3 linked regions of the Macaca fascicularis genome follow. The protein of the gene in region 1 interacts with the protein of each later gene in a pairwise test. Links are inferred from orthologs where the notes say so. Each region holds a gene or a part of one and is shown on either strand. Other genes may lie near its edges. The genes, in order: LDLRAD1, VTI1B and PLN.

Region 1 (4,656 bases):
GGGACAACAGGCGTGTACCACCGTGTCTGGTCTATTATTGCTTGTTGAGGACTTACCATGTGCCGCGCCTTATTCTAAGTGCTATGGAGATAGCAGTGACAGGGGACCTCCCTACTCTTGTAGAACTGCACTTTAATTCTCCTTTAATTCTCTCCTGCTTACAAAATAATAAAAGAAGGCTTTACTGAGGACCTCCTGGGTACCCTGCTGTGCAGCTTGCCCTGGTCCTTGTCCTCTGCAGCTTGTTATTGCACTTAGAAGGCAAGGCATGGACATGTCTGAAGGAGCATGGGAGCTACTGACCTGCCACAGGTACCTCAGAGAAAGGGGCAGGAGCAGGTGTGATTCATCCCTGTGACCCCAGAACCCAGCCTAGAGCCAGGCATGTGGTGGGGGCTTTTGTTTTTTGCATTTTTTTGAGATGGAGTCTCGCTCTATTGCCCAGGCTGAAGTGCAGTTGCATGATCTCGACTCACTGCAACCTCTGCCTCCCGGGTTCAAGCGATTCTCCTGCCTCAGCCTCCCGAGTAACTGGGATGACAGGTGCCCACCACCATGCCTAGCTAATTTTTGTATTTTTAGTAGAGACGGGGTTTCACCATGTTGTCCAGGCTGGTCTTGAACTCCTGACCTCAGGTGATCCGCCTGCCTTGGCCTCCCAAAGTGCTGGGATTATAGGTGTGAACCACCGTGCCGGGCCTGGGGCTTTGTGAACACTGTGAATACGCTGACCCAGGGGCCCGGGAGACAAGGGAAGGCCCCCAGTATGGGTCAGTCCAGGTTATTTCCAATCCATTCACATTCCCAATGCAGTGTCCTCAGAAGCAGAGTGGGATTTCCACAGGCAGAAGAGGAGGGTGCAAAGAGAGGGCATTCCAGGCAGAGGGCGTGGCAGGAATAAAGGCCTGGTGGTTGCAGGTGGCCTGGGGCGGTGGGACTCCAGGATGGAAGTGCATTGGGAGGGGAGACAATAGCAGGAGAGGCAGCATAAATCTAAAACCTGTCATCTCTACAGCCCTAGCTGGTGGCTCTTTGGCCATCAGCAACCTGGGTAAACTCAGGTAACCAGGGAGGCAGCGTGACTCCGGGCAGGGAGAGGTGTCCTGATCAGCCAAGCAGCTCCTCAAATATTTGTGCAGCACAGACCATGCGCAAGGTGGGGCAACGGGAGAACCCGCGGAACCAAGGCCCCTGCCCAGGTGAAGCTGTTGCACTTCAAAGCCAGAAAGCCCTTAGGTGCCAGTCCCCTTCCTGGACCGATGAGGAGAAGGAGGCGATTCTTTCCACAACCGCGCCCATCATGAGTCAGGACTTGGAAATAAACAGACACCAGCTTGGAGCAACAGAAGCCCTGGGGCTTTGTAACCAGAGACACCTCAGTTCACATTTGAACCCTGCCCTCCAACCTCCCGGCTGTGTGACCTTGGCCTGGTTACCCAACTTCTTTTCGTTTCAGCTGCCTCATCTGTTATTGCCCCATAACAGGGTCCCTGTCTCAGAGCTGTGCTGAGGATTAAAGGGATCGTGCAGCACCAGGCACATAACTGGGGTGGGATTCTTCACAGCTGGTATTTTAATCTGCCTCTCTCAGTGTGTTTCCTCATTGATCAAATGTGGGCCAAGCCAAGGCATATACAAAGCTCAGTACATGTGTATTTCTTCCTTCTTCTGTTTTCAGAAGGGTGAAGAGAACTGTCCTGGTCACACTGTGGGCCAGTGGTACATAATAGGGCTAAATAAATGTGTCACTTTATCCCTCAGAGGTAAAGAGAATTGCCCAGGTCACCCAGTGAGTCAGGAATTTGGTGCTGGTTCTTTTCCCTGTGTTAGAGGAGAGCACTGTATGCAGTTTGATGCCTGTGAGGTAGGCAGCACACAGTAGGTGCTTAATACATGCATGTGCGTGGAGAGAATGAATAACCCTATTAAGCAAGTGACTGTCAGCATGGCCGGCCAGGAAGCTGGGAGCAGACATTAACCTGGAAGCAGAGGTCTGAAGGAAAGCGGGAGCCTCGAAGCCTCCTCATGCCTCTATAGCCAACTGCCAGCTTCAGAGGAGCCCCACAGGGCACTGGTCCCGGGCCCTCCGGTTCTTTACCTTCCCCTCCAGGGTGGGCTTTGGGTCCAGCAGCAGCGTAGTCATTCTCTCCCTGCCCAAGAGAACAGAGTGAGGGGTGGGCTTAGGTGAGGTGAGCTCCAGCCTCAGGGAGGCAGACAACAGGGTTTTCAGAGGGGTCACTGAGAGAGTCTTAGGTGGAACCATGGGTCCCTCACACCCCAGCATGCTTACACCCCAGATGCTTCATGCCCGCTTCCTATCTCCACACCTTTGCCTGTGCTGTGCCCTCTGCCTGGAATGCCTTTTTCTCTGCTGTCCCCCTGACAAACATTCATCCTTCAAACCGGCTTGGGCAGCAACTCCTGGGTGAGGCTTTCCCTGATACCCTCCTCCCCAGTAAAGCTGGCCGCTCTCCCCTCCCCTCCACCCGGCTCCTCTGTTTCCATACCAGCACTTGCCACCTGGACTGTATAGCTGTGTCACTGGTAGGGTCCCCTACACCCTGGGAGTGAGCCCCGGGGCAGGCCGGGGGCTGATTTTCCTCCGTGTCTCCCATGTATGCCCACTCTGTACTGCCCACTCTTCATCCCAAGCTTTGCTCTCCCAAGACCAGGAGCCTGGTCAGGGCAACTCTTTCCTGGGGACAGCTCTCACCTGGGGACAGCTCTTACCTGGGGACAGCTCTCACCTGGGGACAGCTCTCACCTGGGGACAGCTCTTACCTGGGGACAGCTCTCACCTGGGGACAGCTCTCACCTGGGGACAGCTCTCACCTGGGGAAGACCTTGTTCATGTCTTCAGCTTCCAGCTCCCTGGCCAGGGCTATGTGCAGAGAGCTCAGCACGGGTTCCCTGCCTTGTCCCCAGGGCCAATCCGGAGGAGGGACAGGTGGGAGGCCTTGTCCAGGCCACAGCCTCCCTATGGGCAGTCCCCTGCCACCTGCCTTCCAAGCAGAGGCAAGGAAAGGAGCGCCCCGCTCCAGCCAGGCTATTCCCTCATCTGCCATCTGACAGCAACATTGAGAGGCTGGAATCTTCATCCCTGTTCCACAGATGAAGAGTCAGAAGTTCAGAGAGGGAGAAACAGCCCCAAGTCTCACAGCACATGGGAGGAGTGAAACCCAGAAACTTTTCAGGAAGTGCATTGTCCTCCACATCAGTGATGGAACCGGAGGAGCTCAGGTTCCAGGGGTATGAAGATGCAGGCAGAAACTCCCAGAATTAATGTTTCTGTGGCTAGAAAGTAGGGGTCATTTTCTCATTGATGTTCTTCTGTTCAACTACATAGGTAACCTAGATTGAAAGAATATGCATTTTCCACTAAAATTATAAAGCAAAAGTAATTTTAAATTATTTCACTTAGAAACGTGGCAATGTGAATTTTTACTGTCCCTGAGGTGGTGCCCGAGGTAGGGAAGAGGTGGGAGGTTGGTTGCTTGCCTGAACAACCCCTTCTATGCCCCCAGGGAGTGGGTTTCCCTAGTAGCCTGTCCCACTGCTGAGCAAACCAAGGCCCTGGAATCTTGAGGAACAGGTCCAAGGACCCGGTCCAAGGGAGGAGAGGTGTCTACCTCCAGAAATGAGCTCAGGAGTTCTTGCACCTGCCTCTGATGCCCATAGATTTTCCAACCTGCAATCAGCCTTTTCTTTTGCATTGGAAAATAAAATGATGAATCCACGTGGGGCCAAGTGGGAGGCGCAGACACAGGGGCAGCCCTTGGGAGGCAGGAAGTAACACTCTGAAGAGCTGAGCCCTCGGCCAGGAGAACGGGACTCTCATTAGGGCCCTACCACTGGCTCTGACGGGCTGCTCACTCCCCTTCCCTGTGCCTCAGTTCCTTCATCTAGAAAATAAGGATGTAAACTAGATGAAGGGGGTGTTTTAGTTTAAGGTTACCCAGAATCAGACTGTAAGACAAGATGTGAGGGCAAGTAGATTTAACTGGGAGTGATCCCAGGAAATGCTGGTTGTGGGATGAGGGAAATGAGACAGGGAAGAGAAGGATCCAATAACAGGCGTGTTATGAAGCAGGTTCCCGCTGTGGGCAAGTGGAATTTAGCCCTGCTGGGGCACTCGGGGAAGCCAGGGGAGAAGATGCACCTCAGAGTTATCCCACTCAAGGTCGGGGGAACTGGGGTATTAATCTGCCAGCTTCTGCCAGTCCTGGTTGAGAACGGCCAGAGGAGGCCAGGCATGATGGCTCATCCCAGCACTTTGGGAGGCAGAGGCGGGTGGATCACCTGAGGTCAGGAGTTCAAGACCAGCCTGGTCAACATGGTAAAACCCTGTCTCTACTAAAAATATTAAAAATTAGCTGGGCATGGTGGTGGACACCTGTCATCCCAGCTACTCGGGAGGCTGAGGGAGGAGAATCGCTTGAACCTGGGAGGTGGAGGTTGCAGTGAGCCAAGATTTCGCCATTGCACTCCAGCCTGGGCAACAAGAGCGAAACTTCGTCTCAAAAACAAAAAAAGAGACTAGCCAGAGGGTGTTCATTCCTTGCACCTCTGGGCTGCCTTAGGAAAGGAGATGCCAGTGTTGGCAACTTGGCAACTGCATGCTAGGCTAATATGTCCTGAAATGGAAAGGGTTGATAG
Region 2 (4,398 bases), on another chromosome or scaffold:
CTTCCCTTCCACTTGCTCCAGGCCAAAGGAACAATACTGAGAACTTTGACAGAAGTTCTCAAACCTTAACAGAAGGTAACTGGAGTCCAAATAAAATAACTAACATATGGCTGAATCTTCTCTTGATCAAGTACAAGATACTGGGTCAGTCTGCTGGGAGACAAAAGATGTGTTAGATGTGGAACCTGCCTCCAGAGCTCAGGCCTGCAGGGATGAGAATGAGGCTTGCAGTAATAACTACATTTCAGGGCATATGGTGTGGTGCTCTAACAGATGAAGATAATACATTAGAGTTCAAAAGTGGGAATGGAGTTTAGCTAGTCAAAGTGGGAGATTTCCTCTGCCTTCATACTTGATTCATTTCCAGGCAGGCATCTGGAAGGTTCCTAGTCATACTGGAGATGGCATACATTTTGCCAACAAGCAGGATGAAAACCTCCCCCACCCAACACCAAGCCTTTTCCTTTTCCAGAAGGCCTGACAATTATGCCTATTATGTTAGTTGAACAAAGATGGTTTATTTCGTTATCTTAAAGGTTTCTTTTAATCTACTGTAGCATAACAGTGTTTTAACTTAAATTCACGGCCAAGAGGATGAGGTGCAAGGGGCTTCCTGAAAATAGGTATTTTCTACTACAAAACGGACTCTTGTTTTTACCTTGGCTTGTTCTCCCTGTCCCAGTGGGATGACCCTCACTGAGAGTAGCAGCAAGGGAATTTGAGGTTTTGTCACACTTTGTTCCTCCAGGGTTGCTGTCAGCACTGGATCTTGTTGAAGTCAATCCTCAGTTGGCCACCTCAGAGGAAGAGGCGAAGACTACAGCTAACCTGGCAGTGGATGTGATTGCTTCAAGTTTTGGTCAGACAAGAGAAGGAGGGCATATTGTCTATGGCCAACTTCCTACTCCCAGTTCACCAGATGAATCAGAAAATCAAGCACGTGTGAGAATTTAGGATATACTGTGCACTGACATGTTTCACAACGGGCATTCCAGAATTATGAGGCATTGAGGGGACAGACAGATACAAAATGGTTGTCTGGGTCAATACTGCCTTAATGAGAACATTTACACATTCTCACAATTGTAAAGTTTCCCCTCTATTTTGGTGACCAATACTACTGTAAATGTATTTGGCTTTTTGCAGTTCACAGGGTATTAATATGCTACAGTACTATGTAAATTTAAAGAAATCATAAACAGCATTTATTACCTTGGTATATCATACTGGTCTTGTTGCTGTTCCTTCACATTTAAGTGGTTTTCCATCTTTCCTCCCTCCTCCCACAGTTTGGCTACACAGTGCATCCCTGAACTGTTAGCCCACAGCAGCAATATGCTTATTCCATCCACATCCCTAACATCATGCATTCACAAGGTCAAAGTTCTGGTCCACAAACCCTTCCCTATAGAAGTTCAATGGCTGCGAAAGAATTTGTAGTAAACCAGGCCTCCCAGGATGGCGAGCTCCAGTAAGATGATAATGGAAAGCAGCAGCTTGTTGGTTGTCACTCTACAAAGAGAAGCAAAGTGGAGAGTAGTCAGAAGTTTGGATAACCTTCCTTCTAAACATTTTGGGGTTAGACCTGGAACCACAGCTGGATACTCTGAGGCTGTTTGTTTGATCACACAGCCACTTACCAGGAAATACTCATAAGGTTCTTTAGCTGTCATTTAGGGATAATACTGTCTACCTCACAGAAATGTTAAACTGAGACAATAAAAACCAAAGCATAAAAATGGATTCTGAAATGTGTTCAAATGGTAGTTACTTCCTTTAAAAATAGCTTTTCTAGAAAGAGGGGTTAGCTAGAAAAAGTAATCATATATACATCCAGCTCAGGATGGGTCCAGCCCTAGGATAAGTAACTAGAAGCCTGGGTAATACCTTTCAATCCCTTGGAAACTTCTTCCCTCTGCCCTGTTTTTCCCTTTGCTCTCCTATCAACCCAAATGGATATGTTATAAAGGTAGTATAGGAGCTTAAAAATTTTACTATATCAACCCAAATGGATATGTTATAAAGGTACTATAGGAGCTTAAAAATTTTACTATCTGTTGTTTACACAAAGAATCCAACCTCTAGTTCTCATGTTCACTCTAGGTTTCTCCCTGTTCCACAAGGAATTTATCACTGTAGGAAAATCCCACCCCTCCTGCTAGTTCCATGAGTGGGTTGTAGTTTTGTTTCATGCTAGGCCACCTGTGTCCAAGGTCACGTACAATACCCTCTTACCCCCAACTTCAACCTCAGTGGCAATATTTCTGCCCTGGATTTGTCTGTTAGCACTCAACGATTTTGGTTTTTATTTTTGATAAAGACTACTTTATTGGTGGCAATTAGTACAATTCAAAGTTTGATCCTCAAAGAAGGACTTAGTTATTTATCAGACTAGGAGTCCATAGAGAGCTGAATGAAACTGAATCAAGTCACTGCTGTGATGACTGAAGATAATCCTGTTTCTTGGGAAATGAAACCACAGTCAGCTGATGCATGGCATATGCTGTTTCACTAATTGAGAACCACGGTGGCTCTATACAGGAGGTCATCAGCTCCACCACCCTTTAGATGCACTGGAATTCTGTTCTTCTCCTGAAACAGCTTGTGTTTTCTAGACCTTTATTTTCAAAATGCCTGCGTGAAGCAACGCTCATGGTCCTCTGGGCAACCTGACAGTGCCAGCAGATTCTGCAGCATCTTGGCTCAGTTACTGCCCACCAACCCTGACAACTCCCCAAGGATTTTATTTTTAAAAGTCTACTTCTTCCCTACAAGACAGAACTTCCAGAAAAGGAGCTGACTCCCATGAAGGGCAAGCAGAGCCAAAAGCAAGTACTATGCAGGTGAAAACTGCTTTCTAATCAAGATTTTACAAATATATTTCTTTTTTTTTTTTTCTTTTTTTGAGACGGAGTCTCGCTTTGTCCCCCAGGCTGGAGTGCAGGGGTGCCATCTTGGCTCACTGCAACCTCCGCCTCCTGGGTTCAAGCAATTCTCTGTCTCAGCCTCCTGAGTAGCTGGGATTACAGGTGCCCGTCCCCATGCCCAGCTAATTTTTTTGTATTTTTAATAGAGACGGGTTTCACCATCTTGGCCAGGCTGGTCTTGAACTCCTGACCTTGTGATCTGCCCGCTTCGGCCTCCCAAGGTTCTGGGATTACAGGTGTGAACCACCGTGCCCGGCCGAGATTATACAAATATATTTCAAGGAATAGGAAGCTGTTATTCCCATGTGTTGCCTTCTCTAAAGAACATTAGCTGTGATTAAATATCTTTTCAGTGGAGAAATTTTTCACTGCTCCAAGTCAAAGCAGTATATACTTTTAACAAATGATTTTATCCTGAGCTATTTAATGATCCAAGACCATATTCCTTAGTGTATTTATTCTGTTCTGTTGGGTGGTACTGAGTATATGGGGACTATCGTCAGCTGCTGAGGTGCTTTATTAGGACCTTCGTAAGTCACTATTTTAAGCTTTTTGGTTGAAAGCCATTGAGTTAAGAGAAATTTCATGACTTTAATAAAACTTACTTTCTGGACATTGAACGGAGAATCTTTCGACTTTTGCTCAAGTTTTCACTTGTGTTTACCAGCTGAGAAGAGAAAATAGTGATTATTTCCCTCTTTAAAAAGTATACTCTGTACAACTGAATATCCCTAGATTAACACTAGGCATTAAGGAATATATGTTGAAAAATTCCAAGAAATCAAGCCAATTTAAATGATGGCCTTCGAGTGTAAGTAGAACCTGGAAAGGACAAGATATTTTAGTACTCATCAAGTAGGCTTAGGAATCGTCTTCCTAGGTTGCTACTGGGGATGGACTCCTGAGACTGAGCTAATCTTCTACCGTGGGTACTCCAAAAGGGAAGGCTTCAAGTGTAGCCAGCAGACTGGACAGCCAGTGACCTAGAGCAACTAAAGATTTGAATTTCATCAGCCAAATTCCAGGACAGCCTCTTGAGTTGGCATTTGTTTTTGTAGGCTGGCCTGTTACTACTTTTGGGATCTGGTTATCTTTTTTCTTTACCCTCTTAAGAGACAGTTGCATTGAATTGTGAAAAGAACCTCCATGTAACTTTCAACTGCCTGCTACTAATCTGGACAGCTGGAGGATATTTCACCTCCAGCAGATGGCTACCTGCCATCTGTTCCCATTCCCCAGTGGCCTTGGTAAGCTGACCTCTCAGCTCATTCCGTGGCTTTTATTTCTTTGAAACAGGGTCTCGCTCCGTCACTCAGGCTGGAGTGCAGTGCTGCAATCGCAGCTCACTACAGCCTTGACTTCCCAGGCTCAAGCAATACCCCCACCTGTCCCCAAGTAAGGTGGGATCACAGGTGCATGCCACCATACCCTGCTACTTTTTTTTATTTTTAGTAGAGATGAGATCTCACTA
Region 3 (4,656 bases), on another chromosome or scaffold:
TGTATTCTCTGAATTTGCCTTTTAGAGTATCATTTACAGTGTTTGGGGGCTTTCAAATTTGGTTTATCAGTGTCACAATTTACTTCAAGCCATGCTGGTCAATATATAGAGGATGTGCATGTGGCTTAGTGACAAAACCTAAACTTCTGCTAAGGTTTCCCTGTTTTCTTAGTTATGTGATCTTGAGCAGTTCACCTTTTTGCATCGTTCCTAAATTGTAGAATAGGGATGCAGTATCAAATATATAATTAAGAGGACCAAATAAAATATTTGTGTACACCAGTACATTAGGAAATTGTTCTTTAAGAAGAAGTTTTAATTGGCCCCCCTCATTTCTGGGATTGGTAATATATTGTCTAATTTAGAGAGGTAACTAGACTTTAAAATTTGTTTTTAAATTAAAAATTTAATATATTACATAATTTAGTATTACATGTGTAATTAGTACATTAAAACATTAAAATACATTAAAATTTTCTGAAACCATTGTGTTTATGCAATATTTTCTTATTGTTTCTTAATCTCGCTAATTAAAGATATGATTATATACCCAAATGCGATTATTTTCCTTTATGCCTACTAAAATACAAATAAAATAGATTTGATATTTGATTTTGGGAAATGATAGTGCTGTCACGCCTTTTAGTAAAGCATGTACTCTGACTCTTTCATGTGTTTATAAAACTTAACACTTCTTAATTTAAACATTTTATATTTTTCCCATTTATTTCATCTAACACTTTTTTAAGCACTTATTTTTAAACCACATGTCTTCATAAACAAAGACAATACTTAACTGGCAACTTAAGGTATAGATGAACTATTTGGGACATAATGTATGGTACTACCACATTATGTTTGAAATTTTAACGGTCTCTGTAACTGGAATTTCTGTTAACTGAGACATACTAGTGAGCTAAGGGTAACTTTAATAGAATTTCTGCTCTATCCAGAGGTTGTGTACTTTTTAGAGCAATATGTGATAAAGCGAAATTCTGATACAATAAAATAACTCATGAACACCCAATTTGAAGTGTGAGAATGTAATTTGATATTTGAATAAAAATGCACAAATAAGCATATAAGACACCTACACTGAATGACTTTTGTGTAATAGCAAAGGAAAATTATGAGTATAGAGATATGGAGATGCAATTAGGATACCTCAATGGTAGACAAAAATTATGTTTTTGTATGTCTTAAGGAAAACCGCTTACAGAATTACAAAGTTCGTATTTGTAGTGAGCAAGAGAGTTAACATTTGTCATGGGAATTGAGAATTTTAGAGGTAAATTTTAACATATATATAAAATATGAAAGTTAAAATAAATAAAATATATGTAATTTTCTGTAAGCCCTGACAGAGATCTGAGAATGAGGAAACGTTTCATTTACTAAATTGAGGATTGTAACTTAAAGAATAGGGTAGAATTCAAACGGAAGTCATAAAATTGATTGTGGCATCTCCATTCCTGGCATTTATTTTATTTTCTCCTGTCTTTCTAAATCTCAGAGAGGAAATGGAGTAACACTGGAGGATAATAACTTGACAAAATTATAGGCATTAATAGGCAGAAATCCATTTAATCAAATTTGTGTGAAAATAAGATACTTAAGAATATTCATGTGTCAAAATAACTTTTTAAAGTGTCTATTCTCTAACAGATTTTTGTGTGTTTGTGAAAAGTGTTTTAAAATTTCTAAACTTCTTTATGATACAATATTGAATTTAATATCAGTAACTCAATTTATTAACAGCATGGAATTTTTAGAAATGTTTCTTAAAAGGTGACTGGACTTTAGAGGGGAAACATCCTCAAGGGCACTTTAAAAGTAGCTTGTATTATATATTCTTAAGCTCCATTTCATTATTATTCACTGTATGAAATTATGATGATATTGCAGTAGGCATGCTGATAATATGCATGTTTGTAGTCAAATGACTATTCATATTAGTTCAAATGTAAATAACTCAGTTCTGCACTGTTTCTCAGCAGAGCAATAAATAACAAAATTAAGTCATTGTTTTTGTGTGGAGAAATTAAACCACTGCTGCCAAATATGGTAACATAATTGGAAGATTTTTTTAATTGGCAGAAATTCACATTTGAAAAGCAAAATAAAAGTGAAAGTTAAATTAAAATGACAAACAAATAACCAGGATCAAAGATGAATATGACCTTTTTCATTTCAAAGTTGTCTCATTTTTACTGTCACTAAATGGATAAGCATTTATAAATTTAAGCACTTTGTCATGTCATTTTATTGCTTAAGTTTGAACTGATATTAATAAAAGTAACTTATCTTAAAAGTTCAGATTATAGAAATTATAGGAATTAAAGAATTACAGAAAGTAAGAATTACCAAAGTCAGTGAAATCTGTTTCTTACCTTGGCTGCTGTGATCATCACAATATAGAGTATTGTGTTGTATGAAGTCTTATGGGTATTTAGCTGGGGAGTTTTCTGACTCTGTCACCCGGTTTATGGGAACAGTTGCAGTAGGTGGAGGAGAAAAAGTGTTCTAGGGAGGTCTTATGATGTCACATAGGAATTCTGAAGTTTCGATTGGTTAGCCATAGTCTTAGTCTCAGCACAACCAAACTTTAGAACTTCTTACTTTAGGTATGGAAAAGTCATTAACACTTTGTGCTTCATCTTTTGTTTCTAATTTAAAACAGTATATGGCAGATAAATGAAAAAACAAAGTAAATTTGAGGTGGTAGAAAGCTTTTGTTAAAGATTCATGCATCTTCAGGCTTAGAGATAATTGAATATTAATGGTGAAGATGTTGAAGAGCCAAAATAGTTACTACAGGAATTTTAATTATGAGAAAAATAAACACAAGTATAAGCAAAACAACTTTCATTGAATTCTTGCTGCTGTTGCTTTAATACCACGTCTTCATAATGTTAGCTTTCAACAAGACAATAGTGAAATATTTTTACACAATCAAATTTTATACCTATTTTCTTATTTTGTTGTGTGTATGGAAGAAGGAGTGTGTATGAGGAAATCAGGCTAGTAACTGCTTTTTGTTTTAAAAAATGATTTTTATCTTACAGTTAAAGAACTAATAAATGTATTTAATTCATTTGTGTTTTCTTCAATTAGCAGTTTAACAATATATTTGTGAATGGTAATTCTTATATTTAAACTGATACATATAATCCCCCCCAAAATAACAATATGCTACTTTTAAGTATTTAAGATTTTTTTAAACAGTTGCATTAAATTGTTACACAATCTTAATAAATTTTTTATAAACAGATGCAGTATTAAGGGCAACTTTATAGCAAAAAAGAAATAATTACAGATTCCAAATCAGTTACATATCAGTTAATGAGGCTTTATAGGTTTGATGTGTTGAAATTTAAGTTTTGTAATGTTTTTAAAAGGATGTGCCTCATTTAATCTAGCAGGTGCTTTCCTGAAAATTACTATACAAATGAGATACTAGTAAGTGAGGATATTTTGAACTTCCTAGAACAGTTTATCTTACAGTAGAAATGGGGAAATAATTTTTTTGTAAAGCCGGGCATCATTCTCCTCTGTTTATCTAATTTGTTGTCTTACATGTCAGATTTACTTAAGTCACCACACTTGAAAATATTAATTCTTAAATCTCTTCTTTAATTTTAGAGGAGGTACTTGTAATCTTTAATTTTTTAAATGCTTATGACAGAGTGAACTTAGCCCACTTCACTTTCTTATGGGTAACTAAAATGTGTAGCAGCAGCTGCTTATGTGCCCTTAAATGGAGATGATCTTGGCTTCTTCCAAAGAAAGAAAATCCATCTCTAGAGCAAATCATTTGTTATTTAAAGAATCAGCTTAAAACTAAGTGAAAAATAATATTTTAGCAAAGATACTCTGTGAACATTGCCAAGGGAAAATTTACAACTTAAAAGTAAAACCCAAGTTAAGGAAATCGCATGAATAATGTTTGTTACTTTTCTTAGTGCTACAACCATTTTTCTTTCAATCCTTACATAATGAGGATCTCTCAGTACCATCAGTTACCAATGATGATTGATAATATAAAACCTAGAAACCTAAAGAGGTTTACAGTAATTTGTCAGAGATAACCAACCGCTAAAGAACAGACTGAGGATTCAAATGCAGATCTGTCTGTTTATAATTCCTAATCTATTGGCATATTGTGGGAAAAAATTATAATTTGAATATAGCTTTCATTAGAGTAGCCTATAGTAACTAAGAAATTTTTGAGATGAAAATAGGTGCATTCTTGAGCACTGTTAATAGTTTTAGAAAGTCTGCTTTATGTTTGTCTACCAGTTATACATTCATTTGAAATTTAGGTGATAGATCATTGTTCTAAGAACTTCTCATTCTAAGAAAATGGAATTAGTAATACTTAGTTGGATAAACCAAGAAGCTGCCATAGATTGAATAAAATATGCCCTAGTTACCACGAGTTTACAAGTTTACTTAAAAAATATACATAGGCATATATACACCTTAGAAGGATACTAACAACTGTGTGTGACATAGTTGGAAAATGGATTCAAAAAATTAACTTTTATATTGGTATAAGAGTGGGGAGTTTTTGTGTTTACCTTTTTCCTTTGGGTTAGCTAGTGAAGATGTCGATGATGGTGATCCCACGTGGAACTCTAGGAAGTATTATATTTT

Evidence for each region.
Region 2: the proteins of LDLRAD1 (region 1) and VTI1B interact in binary tests that used the Homo sapiens proteins (3 or more experiments, as listed by UniProt). The two-hybrid records come from large-scale screens. The link is inferred for Macaca fascicularis from reciprocal best matches to the Homo sapiens genes LDLRAD1 and VTI1B.
Region 3: the proteins of LDLRAD1 (region 1) and PLN interact in binary tests that used the Homo sapiens proteins (3 or more experiments, as listed by UniProt). The link is inferred for Macaca fascicularis from reciprocal best matches to the Homo sapiens genes LDLRAD1 and PLN.

Annotation. Positions count from the first base shown.
Region 1 is NC_088375.1:180,659,183-180,663,838, reverse strand, and holds the start of LDLRAD1 (low-density lipoprotein receptor class A domain-containing protein 1), read right to left. Parts: upstream 2,866-4,656; 5' UTR 2,833-2,865; intron 2,151-2,832; 5' UTR 1-2,150.
Region 2 is NC_088381.1:135,555,326-135,559,723, forward strand, and holds the end of VTI1B (vesicle transport through interaction with t-SNAREs homolog 1B), read right to left. Parts: intron 3,595-4,398; coding exon 3,533-3,594; intron 1,740-3,532; exon of another isoform or gene 1,513-1,739; coding exon 1,416-1,512; coding exon of another isoform or gene 1,363-1,415; 3' UTR 1,183-1,362; downstream 1-1,182. Other genes in the region: ARG2 (arginase-2, mitochondrial), read left to right, coding at 749-954. UniProt on the Homo sapiens protein: V-SNARE that mediates vesicle transport pathways through interactions with t-SNAREs on the target membrane. These interactions are proposed to mediate aspects of the specificity of vesicle trafficking and to promote fusion of the lipid bilayers.
Region 3 is NC_088378.1:22,484,048-22,488,703, reverse strand, and holds the start of PLN (phospholamban), read right to left. Parts: upstream 2,488-4,656; 5' UTR 2,391-2,487; intron 1-2,390. UniProt on the Homo sapiens protein: Reversibly inhibits the activity of ATP2A2/SERCA2 in cardiac sarcoplasmic reticulum by decreasing the apparent affinity of the ATPase for Ca(2+).